Linked DNA regions of Caenorhabditis elegans. The protein of the gene in region 2 interacts with the protein of the main gene of each other region in a biochemical or structural test. Each region holds a gene or a part of one and is shown on either strand. Other genes may lie near its edges.

Region 1 (8,320 bases), 5.7 Mb from region 2:
AAAAATTAATTAATGAAGATAATGCAAGCGCGCTCGATCGAACAAATCCAATTGGCGGTAATTCAAATTGGAATTAGGCAAAAACTGAGATTTTTTCAATTTTTAAAAAATCATATAAAATTTAGAAAAACATTTTAAATTTTTTTATCATGATATTCGGTCATTGTGACCTTATAGGCATGTTTTAAAGCAGTTTCCCCACTGGCGCTACTCCACCTTTAATTACAAAGTAAATTTTGGTTCGATTTTTTTAATCTCGTAGAAAACTTGTAAACTTTCTGAAAATATCTGAACCTTCATAAAATTCAAACAAAATTTTTCAAAAATTAGAGTCCGAGTTGTAGAAAATCGATTTTTTAAAGGTTCAGTGATAATTTTCAGTAAGTTCAATTTAAAATGCCGAATTTCAGTAGTTTTTTCCCGAAAATGACCCAACCTGAAGCCGGAACGGTCGAATACCGAGAAGCACAAGTCTCTCGAACAAAGATTGGCTCAATCCGGCAATCGCCGCCTTTTTACATATAACAACCGGTCCCAGTTGACAGTGATCTCCAACTAAAACCAATTGCCTGACTCCTCTCATAATAGAGACCAAAATCTCGGGCTCTGTCGCCTGTGTGCTCTCATCAATGAGCACAGTTCTCGTACGGATCTTCGACAATCTCGCATCAGCCGCCGATGAGCACGTACAACAGATGACGTCAGCGGCGGCGAGAAGCTCATGCTCTTTGACTCTTTTCAATTGCATATATCTCAAATCATCCTTAAACTCGAGCTCCCCGGCTTCATCTTTCAACTGAATCAGCTTCTGAAGCTCCGCACCGCCCATCACTTTTAGCTGATGTTGAAGCGTCAAGTAGGGTACTGTAGTCTCACTGTGCTCTCGAGATCTCGCACAAAGCCTCACAACCTTCAATCCCGTCTTGTGAATCTTCTCGGCCAAGTGATCGACGGCGATGTTGCTCGGCGAGCACACGAGCACGTTTCCCTCGGTTTTCTGCACCAAATGATAGACGATTGTCGCCGAAACTACGGTTTTTCCAGTTCCCGGAGGTCCTTGAATCAAGCTTAAAGGTCGGGTGAGCACCTGCTTCACTGCCTGCATCTGGGAGCTATTAAGCTCGGGGAGTCCAGCGACAGATAGCCGACGCGGTAGATCAAACTTGAGCATCATTTCCTCGGCTGGATGACCCAGAAGCTTCTGGTAGAGATATGGAGATATTGCTTTGGAGTCGTTGAGCAGCGCCGCAAGAGCCTTGTACTGTCGCTCGAAGGTGGTGGCGTTCCAGACGACGTCGACGGTGAACATAATCCGACTCTCCATCACTGATTTGTCGACAGCTCCGCGGATTTCGATGCCTACCTCGTCGCCGTGGTCTGCAAATTTGTAAACGTGAAATTTTTTGGAGCTTTTTGTGCAATTTTTCTTGAAATTCACAGAAAAACCACTCGAAAATGGCCAGAAACGATGGAATTTGTGATTTTTTTGTTGTAAATTTGCAATTTTCAGATGATTTTTGAGCTCTTTGCCCAATTTTTCGTGCTAATTTCAAGAAAAATCGATCCAAAAGCGGGAAAAAAAATTTTTCCGAAGAATTTAAAGTTAAAAAAGCTCAAAAAAAAATTGATTTTGGTCATTTTCGAGTAGTTTTTCTTGTAATTTTCAAGAAAAAACCGACCGAAATTTTTTTTTTTGCAGATTTTTGGTGATGTAAATTGTACTTTCCCATAATTTCAACGATTTTCCAGAAGCTCAAAAGGTTAGAAATTTAGTTTATACTATTACGGGAACACAAAATTCTGAAAATGCGTATTACACAACATATTTGACGCGCAAAATATCTCGTAGCGAAAACTACAGTAATTCTTTAAATGACTACTGTAGCGTCGATTTACGGGCTCGATTTTCACTTTTTCGTTCGTGTGAAAATGAAAATCAAGCGCGTCGTAAATCGACCTACAGTAGTCATTTAAAGAATTACTGTAGTTTTCGCTACGAGATATTTTGCGCGTCAAATATGTTGTGTAATACGCATTTTCAGAATTTTGTGTTCCCGTAATAGTATAAACTAAATATCTAACCTTTTCAGCTTCTGGAAAATCGTTGAAATTACTGGAAAATACAATTTATATCAGGAAAAATCTCCAAAAAAAAAATTTTGGACAGTTATTTCTTGAAAATTCCAAGAAAAACTACTCAAAATTTTTATTTTTATTTTTCCCATCCCTTACTATCAGGAATCTTGAAAACACTTCCAATCTTGGTCCATTCCGATCCATCAACCGTCTGAGAATGTTTCAATCGAAGTTCATCGCCTTTCGCAAGCTTCATGACACCATCAGCAAATTGTGGAAGATGAAAGAACGCGAGAACCGATTGACGAAGTCCTTGTTCCCATCTAACAGTTCCGACTGCTTGTGATGCTGATTCTTTAACTCTTCGATCATATTCTGCTTCAATTGCAACTAATGGACGGAACACTTTCGAATAGTGATGAGCATCCACATATCTTAATTGAACATGATCCGGTTCTCGATCGAGTCCCGGTTTATTTAAATCGTCAACGGTTGCTTCTGGGTGATCACGCCAGAGCTCTTCCATTCGGACTGCTTGGGTAGCACTGGAAAATTTAGTTTTTCATATATATATATATATATATATAGCTATTTAAAAGTACTATACCACTTGTGTTTTTCCGGCTTTTTGCACCAATGCCGGTAGAAATTGAGAATTTTTTGCACGAAAATTCGAAAAAAAATTCAATTTTCAATTTCTTTTGGAAACTGGGAATAGATTTTTTATCAACAAAAAAATCGAAGCTATAGAAATATTAAAGGTGGTGTAGTCGAATTTTTTAAAATTGCTTTATTCAACTCAGAAAACACCGAATTTCATAGTGAAACTTCTCAAAAAACAAGTTATGACGGTTCAAAAAATGGCCTAAAATTAGTTAAAATTTGAAATTTGACCGACTTGTAAAGCGGCTGGAAACTATTTTTTTTTTGTAACCACCGTCAAATTTTGAGTATACAATTTAATTATCTTGCGTTTTCAACTCGATTTAGGTATTTTAAAGTCGATGGACGGCGAGATTTAGTTAAAAATTGTTAAAATTCGATCGCTCGGAAATTGCATTTTTGGTTGGAAATTCCTTTAATTATTATTTTAAAATTTTTCTCAAAAATCGATTTTCCTCCACTAACGTGATTTTCCTAGCTCTGGCCACCTGCTCCTCGCTGGGCACATTAACAATCCACGATAGCAGCTGTTTTTCAGCGATTACAGATTTCCAGTCCTCGGGCGACCAATTATCATCATTCTGGAATGCAATACTGGCGCACGGTGTTCTACAGATTATCACGACGACTTGATCCTTTTTTCCGGGGATGAAGCCGAGATTAAACACGTTTTTCGAACCACAACGATAGCATTCCAATTGAGTGTCACCACACGGTGAATCCTTATGCGTGTAGGCTTCCTTATGCTGACTCCGAACCATATGATGAACAATATGCCCGCCCGACGTTCCATCATTGGAATTACAGAACCATTTCCTGCAGACTGTGCATTTGGCGACACACAGAGGATCAGAGATTCCACAATAGCGACACGCGTGCTCCGGCAGCTTCTGCTGCTGCTGCTCTTCTGTCAGTGATTTTTCACTGTCCGACTCGTCGTCTTCCACGTCGTGAAATGGCAAATCGTTGGTGGTTCCATCGGTTCCTCCTGGCAGCAGATCTGTCGCCTGGAATATGGGTTTTTTTTTGTTGAGAATTTTGAAAAATTGACAAAAAAAATTGATTTTAAGGGACTTTTCTATGATTTTCTTGGTTTTTTTCCACTGAAATTTCCACTTTCAGAGGATTTTGAATAAAAATTTATTTAAAATTAAGATCTGTCGCCTGGAATAGGTGTTTTTTTTTGAGAGTCGAATTTTTAAAATTGCTTTGGAATTTTCTTGGAATTTTTTGTACGCTTTTGGGTCGATTTTCTTGAAATTAGCACGAAAAATTGTGGGCAAAGTGCTCAAAAATCATCTGAAAATTGCGATAAACAAAAATATTGGAAAAAAAAATCACAATTTCCAAGATTCCTGACAGTAAGGAATGAGAAAAATTCTTTTTAAAACAAGTTTTTGGTGATATAAATTATCTTTTCCAGAGCAAGCTCAACGTTAAGAAAGGTTAGAAAATTAGATTATACTATTACGGGAACACAAAATTCTAAGAATGCGTATTACACAACATATTTGACGCGCAAAATATCTCGTAGCGAAAACTACAGTAATTCTTTAAATGACTACTGTAGTGTCGATTTACGGAATCTCGATTTTGGCGAAGGAAAAATGAAAATCGAGCCCGTAAATCGACCTACAGTAGTCATTTAAAGAATTACTGTAGTTTTCGCTACGAGATATTTTGCGCGTCAAATATGTTGTGCAATACGCATTCTCAGAATTTTGTGTTCCCGTAATAGTATAATCTAATTTTCTAACCTTTTTTAACGTTGAGCTTCTAGAAAATCGTTGATATTGTTGGAAAAGATAATTTATATCACAAAACATCTCCAAAAAAAATTGGACGGTTTGTTTTCTTGAAAATTACAAGAAAAACTAATCGAAAATGGCCAAATTCAAAAAATTTTGCAATTTTTGCACAAAAATCTAATTTTTTCGAGCTTTTGGATCGATTTTTCTTGAAATTTGCACGAAAAATTGATTGGGCAAAGTGGGCAAAAAAGCATCTGAAAATTGCAAATTGACGGGATTATACTCATTTTCGAACAAAAATTGAAAATAAAAATCACAAATTCCATCGGTTTTGTCCATTTTCGAGTGGTTTTTTTTTCATGATTTTCATCGTTTTTTTCAGTGTGTAAAGTCTATCAATTCAAAGGATTTTGAATACAAATTTCTCTGAAAAATCATGTGAAAAACTTGATTTTTCAGCAAAATCCAGAATTTTCCTTCGATTTTTTGACACAAATGCGGCAATTTTCTACCTGAGAACTCTGCGTAGGCACACTAAACTGCTCATAGGCGAACTGAGAGTCCTGCGTGTTCCCAATAGAGACTCCATCGTCCTCGGGATCCACAAATGTGAGGGTTTCCCCGTGGCTTCTCGAATATTCGTCGTCCGAATCGTCCATTACTGGAAGAAAAGTGCGTTTTTGAGGGGTTTTGGAATGAGAAATCGATAGCATTCATGAGAAATTTGTCGGTATTCGAGTAAAATAGGTGAAAAAAGTACAAAAAAGCATTTTTCAAATTGCAAAATCTAACAATGAGCAATATTTCGTAATTTTTTACCACTTTTACACTTATTTTTGCAGATTTTTCATGTAAAAATTCAACATTTTTGCCGAAAATTGGCGGAAAACCTTCGAAAATGAGAACTGTGTTAATTTAATCACAAAGCGGGTGCATTTTTGGAAATTTCAACAATTAAAATTGAAAATTTTCAATTTCCGCTCACTTTTTATCGGAAAAAGGTAAAAATGCCTAAAATTTGAGCTCAAATTTGAAAAACAAACTGAAAAATCCCCCCAACTTTTAAAATGAGCAATATTTCATCATTTTAGATGATTTTAAGCGAAAATTGTGTGATTTTTAACAATTTAACCATGAAAATGCATATTTTTTCAACATTTTCATACAAAAAATGAGGTTTTGTTAGAAAAAATTGCGAAAAACGGTCGAAAAATGAAAAAATATGATAAAAACACCTCATTGCAAGGTGGGCGCACGGTTTTTGCAAGTGTGCCGCACGGAGTTTATGTTTTCTCGATTATTATTTTTCTTGGAAAATCGGAAAAAATCGCTGATAAGAACTGATTTTTATTGATTTGTATTGATTTTTCCTGGTTTTTAATGTCAATTCTATCTAAACTATCCCAAATATCCATCAAAAGCGCCGTGCAAAGCAGCAAACACTGGTAAGATCTGCAAAAATCTGCTGATTTTCCATTTTTCCATATATTTTCCCGTTTTTTGCAGCTTTTCCAGCTATCCATGGCTTCACAAACCGATTTCAAGGACAACAATACTCAAAACATGGCGAATTTGTGGGTTTGGAGCCGGTTTAGGAGCTGTAACCCTACGAAAAGCGGCATGTGCTCCGAAATTGAGCAAACGCATCGACCATTTGAGGACGACGGAGGATCAGAATGCGTCAATGACGGCCGGAGAGCTGTGGAATTTGATTAAACCCTTTTTCGGCTGGTTTTTCGCTGCAGTTGTGGTGAATTTTTCGATAAAAATCCGGTTGAAAACTGGGAAAAATCGAGAAAAATACGTATTTTTATAGTTAACTTACAAAAAATTGTGCAATTTTCACCTAAAATCTTGCTTTTTAATTTTATTTCAGGTTTCCTGTCAATTTTCCAGCAAAAAAACTTTAATTTCCGCATTAATTCGTATGAAATCAATGAAATTTCATAGTTAAATTGGAAAATGGCAACATTTTTGCTTAAAATTTGTAAAAAATCATGTTTTTTGGGCATTTTTGGTGATTTTCTTTCGATTTTTATGATTTTTCGGCGGTTTTTACCCAATTTCATTAGAAAAAATTGAAAAAATCTCAGTTTTCCCCTAATTCCTATTTGAATTTCCGCCAATTGAACTTGTTCGGTGGAGCGCGCTTGCATTATTTTTTTTATCATTATTTCATTGATTTTCTTCATTTTTAGGGGTTTTTGATCGGAATATGAACGAAATAAACAAGAAAAATGCAAAATGTTTATGAAAAAGTGACTAAAAATACCTAAAACTCCATGAATAATACAAATTTCAGGCTCGTCGTCCTCAGAACTCAAAAAATCACAGTTTTACGCATTTTCAGTTACTTTTTAACAAACATTTTGTATTTTTCTTGCTTTTTCAGTTCTTTTTTCCGATAAAAATGCACAAATAATGAAGAAAATCAGTGAAATAATAAAAAATAATTTTAAAAAATTAATGAAAATAATGCAAGTGCGCTCCAACGAACGAATCCAATTGGCGGAAATTCAATTAGGAATTAGGCAAAAACTGAGATTTTTTCAATTTTTTCTAATGAAATTGGGTGAAAACCGCCGAAATATCATAAAAATCGAAAGAAAATCACCAAAAATGCCCAAAAAACATGATTTTTTACAAATTTTAAGCAAAAATGTTGCCATTTTCCAATTTAACTATGAAATTTCATTGATTTCATACGAATTAATGATATTCGGTCATTATGGCCTCATAGGCATGTTTTAAAGCAATTTTCCCACAGAGTGGAGTCCACATTTAAAGAAAAAATTGGCTAAAAGTCGGTTTTGTCCGGATAAATTACAAAAAATTACAAAATTTTTGTTTTAAATCTCGGAATTTGAAGTTTTTCAGTTATTTTGGGGGGCTAAAAATTTTAATTTCTACATTAAATTGTACGAAAATCTTGTAATTTTTTCGGAATTTCACCAGAAAAAATTTTAAAAACAAAAAAATTTTAATTTTAGTCAATTTTTCCTTAAAAAATTGAGAAAAATTATCAGTTTTTTTTGCAGTGCGCCATCCTCTCAGCCTACATCAACATTCAAATTCCACTATGCCTGGGCGATTTGGTGAACGGAATCGTGAAAATCATCAAGGACGAGTCGAACAATTTACGATCTCATTTTGAACAGCTCAAGCCATCTGCTCTGCACTTAATGACACTATATGTTGCACAATCTGCTCTCACATTTCTTTATATCACATTTTTAACGGTTCTCGGAGAACGAATGGCGACGAAAATGCGGTCGGACTTGTTTCAGAAGCTATTGCACCATGATATGGCATTTTTTGATTCTCATGTAAGAGCGTGGGTGGCCGCGGTGAAATTTTGGTGGCCTAGTTTTTTAAATTCCGATTTTTTCGGTTTTTTTCAGTAAAAAAAATCTTTTTGAAAACTCGACATTTTTAATTTTTTGCAATTTAAAGATGGATTGACTCCAAAATTTCCCCTGATCCCCGAAAAAAAAATTGTCCCAAAAAATTTTTTTTTTTCAAATATTTGTTTTAGTTTTTGATTAATTTTCAGTATTTTTCTGCTTTAACTTTTTGAAAAATTAATTAGGGAAAACTCTAAAATGTTTGATTTTTGAATTTGATTTTTTTGGCAGTTTTCAGATAAAAAAACAGGATTTCCTTTTTTTCAATTTTAACTTTTTTAGAACAAAAATACAGGGTCTCGACACGACAATTTTTCGGTATAAATCAATCTGCGCCTTTAAAGAGGGTACTACTGTATTTTCGAGCTTTTCCTTTCTGCGAATTTTTTTCCCGAAATCGTGGGAAAAAAATAATTTTTACAACTA
Region 2 (8,204 bases):
GCGTGGTTCCCTCTGCAGCGCCTCTGAAATTTCTCCAAGAGGAGTCCGAATAGAGACGAGCCACAGCTTGAGCACATCCTTCAAAGTCATTCCACAGCTTATCGTTTTCCGTCAGATCCTCAGTACAATCACAACGACGGTGGGCACCGCCAGTTCTCGAAGAACAGCTCGAGTGATGATTCGACATATTATGCGAACTGAAAACATTAACATAATTTTTTATTAAAAGAAAGAACTGTCGGAAATCAAGTTCGAGAATATTAGAAAAAAAACGGGGAATTTTAAATGTTATAATTAATGTTTTCAACAAAGATTAGGCAATCGCGTGAGCAAGGTTTCATTCAACAAAACGAATATCGATTAGCTACACAATCTCATCAGTCTTTCAATTGCATGGGAGTTATGCTCCCCGAGCAAGTTCTAAGCGACTAATTTATCGATTTCTGGGTGAACATCAGCATCAGATGACGAAATAATTACAGAATAAAGATAGTTAGATGGAGAGAGTGAGAAAGATTGGAAAACGATTGGGTGCGTCCGGTCAAGAAATTGAGAGGAGAAGTTATCTTAAAGATGAAATGAAAAGATAGAAATGAAGGATTTATTGGTAAATTTGCAAGATTTGAGGTAAAAAATGAGTTATGGAAAATTTAAAACCAATTTTTCAAGGATGAGCAGTTGAAATATGAATGACTCATTACGAATACACTAGAGAAAAAGCTAATCGGGGAAATAAATGGCTGGGAAATTAATAATGTTTAAAAAACAGCTCTTGTAAAACTATTTTGTATTCAGAGTATGAAAGCAGGGCATAAAAGATAACTAAAAACATGAACGATTGGCGTCGAATCATTGCGAAAAACGTGGGTATACAGAGGCCGTTATTCGAGGTTTTCAGAATTATCAATTGAGATTCAATTGCATGTTTTCATAAAAACCGACAGGAATAAGCCATTTCTTCCGATTTTTTTTTCGAAATTTTGCGAAAATCGATGGGGAAACAATGAAAAAAGTGTCTGAAACGGGCAGAAAATGAGGAAAAGAGAGTAAAGAGAGAGAGCGGCCGAAACAAAACATTCGATTAGCAATGGAGCATGTTTGCTGACTCATGTGTCGACAGTTTAAATGCTTTTTGATCATCTGTTTATGAAGTTTTTCAACATTTTTATTGATTTTCAGAACTGGAGATTTTATTGCTATTTTTTAAGAACATAAAATCTAATTTTTTAGTGTGAGAAAGTTCTTTTAAAAGTATTAAAACAAAAGAAAAGCAACACGAGTACTGTATTAAAGGCGCATACCAAAAATCATGAGTCCGGTCTCACGAAGCGTTTGCACCACAATTAAAAGTGCCATTATCGATAGTTATCTTCTCAAATTAAAATTTGTTTCGTCTTTCCGGGTGCAAATCTATTTAAGCTTGAATTTTCATTAAATCACAATGTTTTATTTGCTTAAAACATTTTAACGTGACATTTTCATTTTCAAAGCTAAGTTTCCTTTTTTATTTATTTCTGACACGTGACGATGCTAGTCCGGCCGAGAAAAATGTTTAAAATCCTTAAACGGCCCGACACATTAAGGTATTTTGTTCTCGTTTATTCAATTTTCCCGATATTTGTATTCGTTTCTCAGGCTTTTTTCCTGTTTCAACTTTTATTTTCAGCCTATGCAACCTTCCGTGCGATCAAAAAATGATAACATCGAGAAACAATGATATTGGGAACCTGATAGAACAGGTAAATGTGATAAACGGAGAAAAGTATTTATTGTTAATCAAATTAAGTTTCGTCAACGTGACACGCCACAGAAGGAACGGAAAGCGATTCTCGCTAGAATCGAGGAGATTCTTCAAACTACGAAAAATGTAGAGGTTTGTTTTCCCTTCGGAAGCATTACGGAAAACCAAGAAATTATTATTTTACAGAGTCTTTGTGTAAAATGGACTTATCTTTTGGATAACTTGTGTTGGCCTAGTCTCACAAAACACGATCGGAATGACATGAAAACGCTGGCTGGAAAAGTGATACGACTTGTTGGAGTTTTACTCTTTGATACTGAATCCTATCCAGAGTTTGTGAATTTTGCCATTTGAAGATATAAAATAAAAATTTTTCAGGTTTCTGATTTATCTTGGAACATTATATCAAAGTGTTACGAAGAAAAGTGAAGAAACACGTGCGGATATCGTGTTTTCAGTGTATTTCATCGTTGGAGTCATCAGTCAAAAAACGGAGAATCGTCTAATTGCTACCGACACTGAAAATGTCGAAAAATCATTAGACTGGATAATCAAAGTGCTTCCGAATTCATCAATATCAGTTTATAACCACTGTTTGAAAGGATTTGTACTTGTTGCAAACACATTTCCAAATGTTTATGCTGCAATGTTTGAGGTATTTTATTTGAAAAATAATAAAAAAATTTCGCTTTTTCCAGTCAACCCTCCGAGCAATTCTGACCAACCTTCCCGATTTCAACAGTCATGAAAAGAATTTTGAGCTTCTCATTGATACAGTGATGCGATTTTCTGATCAACTTAATGAGAAGCCTCATTTGGCAGAAGAAATGGTTCGAATTATTCGACCGGATATCAAAAAGAATGGATTGGGAAATATGAGAGAATTGAAGAAACGAATGAAACTGACAATGGCACTCGTGAAAATGGCGAAAAGTCAAAAAATGCTTGAGGAGACTAATCAGATGGTGAGAATATGATGAGGGAACACATTATTTGCTGAAATATCTGAAAATTTCAAAAATAAATTATCTAAAAAAGCTTTAGAAAGGCAAATTCTCAAAAAGTTGAAATATTTATTTTGTTATTTGTGAATAATAAGTTCCAAGGACTTAATTTTGTTCTTTAAAGTGTGATATTGATTTTATTCAATTCATCTTTATTTTAAAATTCAAGTTCGTGGACCAAAAACAGATTTTCCCAACAAAAAGTTAACAAACTGCTTATTATTCTTTTTATTCAATAAATTTCAGATTTCTGAAATGTCTATCGAACTCGAGGAAAACGGAGGAAAATGGTCATCAGCTTCACTTATAACTATCGTTTGTGATGTTTTCAATGAGCTCTTGATATTGGGAAAAGATGATGTAAAATTGCAAAAAGGAGTTGAAGAATCATTGTGCAATGTTCTGAAAGACTTGAATCTTTCTAATCAGAGTACTATGGAGAAACAAGCATTTTTCAATTCTCTTGCAAAGGTTTGGTTTTTTGCCACAAAAATATCCGAAATTAGAGTATTACCCGAAATTTGGCGCTGAAACTAAAACTACGGTACTTGGTCTCGACACGACAACTTTTTGCTAAATGCGAAACGGTGTGCGCCTATTATTACTGTACTTTTAAACCCTTGTTGCTGCGGAATATTGCTATTTTTAAACGTTTTTTTCACGATTTATTAAAATTTATTTGAAAAACTATGATAAAACTTTGATGCACTGAACGAGAATTTGAAACTACTGTAACCTGTAAAGGTGTACATCATTCTGCATTTCCCAAAAATGTTTCGTGTCGAGCGTAGGTGCTGTATTGTTGGCGCAAAATGTTGCGTCTGGGTAATACAAGCTGCTGGTGTATGTAATTGATTTCAGATTGTCAAACAACTTCCAGCAGAGTCACAAGTCAAAACTAGAGTTCATCAGATTGTTTTCAACACGGAAACTGGACTTTTCACACCCAAAAACCGCGATAATCGAATGTTTGGGTGAGAAAAAGTTTTTAAGTCGATGCTCTATCGTATCGGGGAGTACGATGTTTTTCAAAATCAATTTTTATAATTTCAGACATAATATGATATACAAGGATCTTATCAATCTTGTCTCTGTGCTTCTTACGCCTACATCACTCAATCATCTACAAGCGACATATACGGATTTGAGGAAAATAATGATAGGTTAACTTTAATTAAATCTGTGAATTCAATTGATTAATTATTTCCAGATAGCATGTCACGATTGAAGCAAAGTGAAGATACTCCGTATAGTGATAATATTCGATGGAATGAATCAATCCTTTTGCTTTTCTTTTCGTCACTTCAAAGTATATCATGTGCCAAGAGTTCTCTTATTGTGGTTTGTTTAAAAATAACAATTATTTTCGCAGAAAACAACGATTTTTAACAATTAAAGAACAAATTTTAGATGATGGGAATCCGTCCGTCAATTTTTGAATTCTTCTCATCGGAACTTCCACTCACAGAATATTGGCTTGCTTCAAATCATCCAGAAGTCTATCACCTATTTATCACAATATTTGTTGGACATTTGAAAGCGTGAGTATGACAGAATAAATACTTTAATAAATCAATTCTTTCAGTCACGACTTCTACATTGTTCAATCTGATTATATTGTTCGTGGTGATAGCATTGGACAAAGTATAGGACAAACGAAACGAGATTATGCACGGAAACAAGTTGTTGCTCTACAGAAAATTATCAACAATTTTGGAGACAAATTGTGGAAGAAGACTAGGTTTATTCTTGAGCATTCATTATATTTTATTTTCAATTTTTAATAAATTGTGATTCAGACTGATGATATCTTCATGGCTTCACTCTCTCATTGCAACTGCTTGTGAACATCAAATCGGAAGTGATAGTTTCAGTCAACGAGAATGGGTTCGATTAAGGAATACTGTCATTCATCAGTCGGTGCTCACATGGAATAATGAATGGTATACACTTGAATTGCTTGAATTTCTAGCAGTTTTCACATTTTCTCAATCATTTGTACCAAGCAACACTTGCTGGAAAATCAAAAAAAAATCAATTTTTAAAATATCCCGCTACGCGCCCAACATTGAAATATATAATTCCTGGGACTTCTTTTTGGAATTTTAATTAAAAATAATTATATTCCGTATTTTGATAATTTAAAATTCTTTCACTTATTTTTGAGAAGTTTGCATGTTGGATATCAACATACTAAATAGTTTTCTGGGAAGTGGCCAGGTTTTTCGGTTGTAGGAAAGACTTGTATTATATTGTTCATTGAAAACAAGTATATCAATAGTATTCTTTTCTGAATTGGCACTTATAAAAGTGAAATCGAGATGCTGAAAACTAGTTTCTTCTGTCAGTTTCAGTTTAGATTGATTATAGTTCTTTTCTCTCTATTCTCCTCATATTTTCTAAAAATTTGAACTAAGTTATATATTTTCAGTGTAAATCAAGCATTGACCATCCTCTCCACTGCTACAAAATGGTCAGAACTGACGTCAGACATCCATCGAGATATTGCGGATAAAACGAAAAAAGCAAAGTGGAAGGAGGCAACGACAATTTGGGAATCTGGAGATTGTAATACTTATATCAGGTATTGAAAAGAACTCTTTAAAATTATTTCAAGCTTTTCGATTTTATTCCACTATTTGATTCAAAAAAATGTTTGCACTCAATATGTTTCAAAGAGTGTTTATGTATTTATGACTATCGAAAAAAAAAAGAACTGAATGACGGATAATCGGTGTCTACATTCAGGCGGCGGTCACGTATACTCTAAACAATTTTGAATTATTTTTGACATTCTTTGTGAAGTTTTAAACCTGTAATTAGCTAAATCGAAATGATGAAAGACGGAAAACGCAAGATTTTATTTGAAAACTTTGTATAAAACTGGTATCTTTCACCCTCAAATCTGGTTATTTCAGTTTAAAAACTAGAGAGCATTAGCTCATTGAGCTCTGGTTCTTGTTTATTTATTTACTCGAATGAATAAAACAAGCGACTTTTATTGTTTTCATGCCTACTTGCACCTGCGTCTAACTAACTAACTATTAGGCGAGAGTTTCTGCATGAATTACACACTGGAAATTTGCCCAAAACAAACGTCACTCTACTTGACAGTCTATAGCTTGTTTTCATCGCCTGGAGGTGGAGTAGCGTGAATACGGATTTGCTTTAAAATATTTGAAACAGACTGAAATTCATAAGTACCAGACAAAAAACGAAAAAAAAAGTATTTCTTGTTTTTTATACAACTTCGTAAAAGTAAAATGATTTATTTTCCAGGCAATCCATGTCTACAGTCTATCAAATGTCACAGGAACGACAACAGAAGACAATTACATCGACAAGTTTTGGAGCCGAAGAGTTTATAATAATTACGAATTTCTTGTTGAAACAGGCAACACCAACTACTTTCAAGTGAGTTCATAATTAAAACCTTTCTACGTATAAATTGAGTTCCAGAAAAGGTCAAAACTCATGGATGGATGAAGTACTGGAAACATTCACACAAGGATGTCGTACGCTTGAAAAACCCGATTCATACGTTCCAGAGACATTTATCGAAAAATGGGATTGGATTATTAATCAGACTGCAAACTTTTGCATTGTGAATAAAATGAAGACACCATTAGGAAAACCAATGCAGACTTTTGCAGCTTTTGAGAGTAGGTTAACAACTAGATTTCAAATTTTATGAGTAGAAATTAGCTGTAGTTAAATAATTATTCATTAATTGCAGATGAAATTAAACGACTTGCGAAAGAAGTGATTGTTCGAAAGAATAGTGATAAGAAGTTGAATAAATCATCTACAGAAGATCCAAATCAATCTCCACCACTCAAATATTCCGTTCAATGGCTTCGTGTTCATTTACTTCTAAAATTGATTGTAGTTTTGGAAAAACTTATGAACTCAGCCATTCATGGTGGTTCTTCCGTTTTCAATTTGACTGAAATTCCAGTGGTATGCTTAATTTTTTTGTCTAGAAATATCGTATATTTCAGTCCTCTCGCCAATTTTTCACAGTGAACGCAGCAAGTTGTGAGGTTTGGCTGAATCGAGTATACTATCCTGCTCTTCTTGTCGCATATTTCAATGGATATTATGGACTTGTAAATGATCTTAAAATTCTTATATTTTGTTACTGATTTTGTTATAGTTTCAAACGTAAGCCTAAATGTCATAAATTTCAGGTTATTCGATTTGGTTCAAATGCTCTTAGCCATTTCGCGAGACAAAAAGACGGAGATAATGATAAAAAGATCGTGAATGGCGTTTGTACAGCAAGTTTAATGTCACTTTCAATGGCAGTTCTCGGTGAACCAATGGAAATTGTTGGATTACGGAGAAAAGTTCGAGAAGAATTCGGAACTGACATGGGACAATCATTGATGGAGGCACTCGGAGAAATGGCTAATGCTAGGTGAGTGATTATGCAGAAATATATATTTTTATAATTATTATAATATTAAGATATGAGACAGCTCTGGTTGCCTTGGAAGCAGTTCTTGTGACAGATGCAGCAACAAATGAAACATTGAAAATGATCATTCAACTAGCAGTATGTGCTAATCAATACAATCATTTTAATTTTTTTCAAAATTTCAGATGGTTGACATTTTGAACCGCATACGCCTCCCACAGGCTACCGATTATTATAAGGTTGTCTTATTTGGTGAAGAATCAAATGATTCCACAATTACTGAAGACTTTCGATCGTAAGATTTTATGAAATTTCGATTTGTGCTCACAGAGAAATTATAATTGAAATAATAATTATTACATTTTAGAGTTGAGTTACTCACGAAATTCGAGAAGCTCAACAATACAGTGAACGAAAAGCGTCAAGTTGTTGATTGGAGTGCTCGAGAACGTTTCCAATTTGTTGAATCCGCATTTTCACAGACTATGAGAAGGCGAGTGTCTAGGGTGTCGGTTTTCCAATATTTCGAAGAAAAAACATCGATTTTTCGAGAAATAGCTTGAAGTTTTAGCCATATATTTTTTCTCGAAATATTATACGAAAATTACTTACGGATAAACTAACTTTTGCACTCTAAACTTCTATTTTCCATAAAATTTTAAAAATTAAAAAGGATAACTAAATGAGCAACTTTTTCAGAACCGAACTTCTCGACATTCAAAAAGATTTTTCCGCGATGGGAGCACTTGCATTGAGTGCTGATTCATCGTGTAAATTGTATTCGGACATTTCATCAACATCTCTCATAATTGCAAATCTTGTCAATAAAATGACTGGTGTCTCACAATGGAAGAATAAACTCACTGATACGGAAATATTCGATAGAAATGAAGAAGGAAATGATGGTGATAAGTTGGCAATATGTCGAAAGTTAATGCATTGGGGACGACACACAAAGAGTAATCGTACGTTTTTCAATTTATGAGAAGAGAAATTAAGTAAAATCATGTTTGGTTATAATTTTCAAAAAATAAAAATA

The links.
Region 1: of the proteins of smg-1 (region 2) and smg-2, one has a biochemical effect on the other in vitro, tested with the Caenorhabditis elegans proteins (one study listed by BioGRID).

What each region holds. Positions count from the first base shown.
Region 1 is NC_003279.8:1,173,304-1,181,623, reverse strand, and holds the start of smg-2 (Regulator of nonsense transcripts 1), read right to left. Parts: upstream 5,152-8,320; 5' UTR 5,150-5,151; coding exon 5,003-5,149; intron 3,747-5,002; coding exon 3,205-3,746; intron 2,622-3,204; coding exon 2,233-2,621; intron 1,378-2,232; coding exon 437-1,377; intron 1-436. Other genes in the region: haf-6 (Mitochondrial potassium channel ATP-binding subunit), read left to right, coding at 5,871-5,935, 5,997-6,240, 7,529-7,816. UniProt on the Caenorhabditis elegans protein: RNA-dependent helicase required for nonsense-mediated decay (NMD) of aberrant mRNAs containing premature stop codons and modulates the expression level of normal mRNAs.
Region 2 is NC_003279.8:6,907,042-6,915,245, reverse strand, and holds the start of smg-1 (Serine/threonine-protein kinase smg-1), read left to right. Parts: upstream 1-1,694; coding exon 1,695-1,739; intron 1,740-1,786; coding exon 1,787-1,873; intron 1,874-1,927; coding exon 1,928-2,073; intron 2,074-2,119; coding exon 2,120-2,396; intron 2,397-2,439; coding exon 2,440-2,706; intron 2,707-2,991; coding exon 2,992-3,216; intron 3,217-3,606; coding exon 3,607-3,719; intron 3,720-3,798; coding exon 3,799-3,908; intron 3,909-3,955; coding exon 3,956-4,086; intron 4,087-4,155; coding exon 4,156-4,286; intron 4,287-4,330; coding exon 4,331-4,486; intron 4,487-4,544; coding exon 4,545-4,688; intron 4,689-5,176; coding exon 5,177-5,329; intron 5,330-6,024; coding exon 6,025-6,159; intron 6,160-6,198; coding exon 6,199-6,407; intron 6,408-6,481; coding exon 6,482-6,705; intron 6,706-6,746; coding exon 6,747-6,854; intron 6,855-6,935; coding exon 6,936-7,165; intron 7,166-7,215; coding exon 7,216-7,303; intron 7,304-7,350; coding exon 7,351-7,460; and 5 more. Other genes in the region: haps-1 (Essential protein Yae1 N-terminal domain-containing protein), read right to left, coding at 1-187.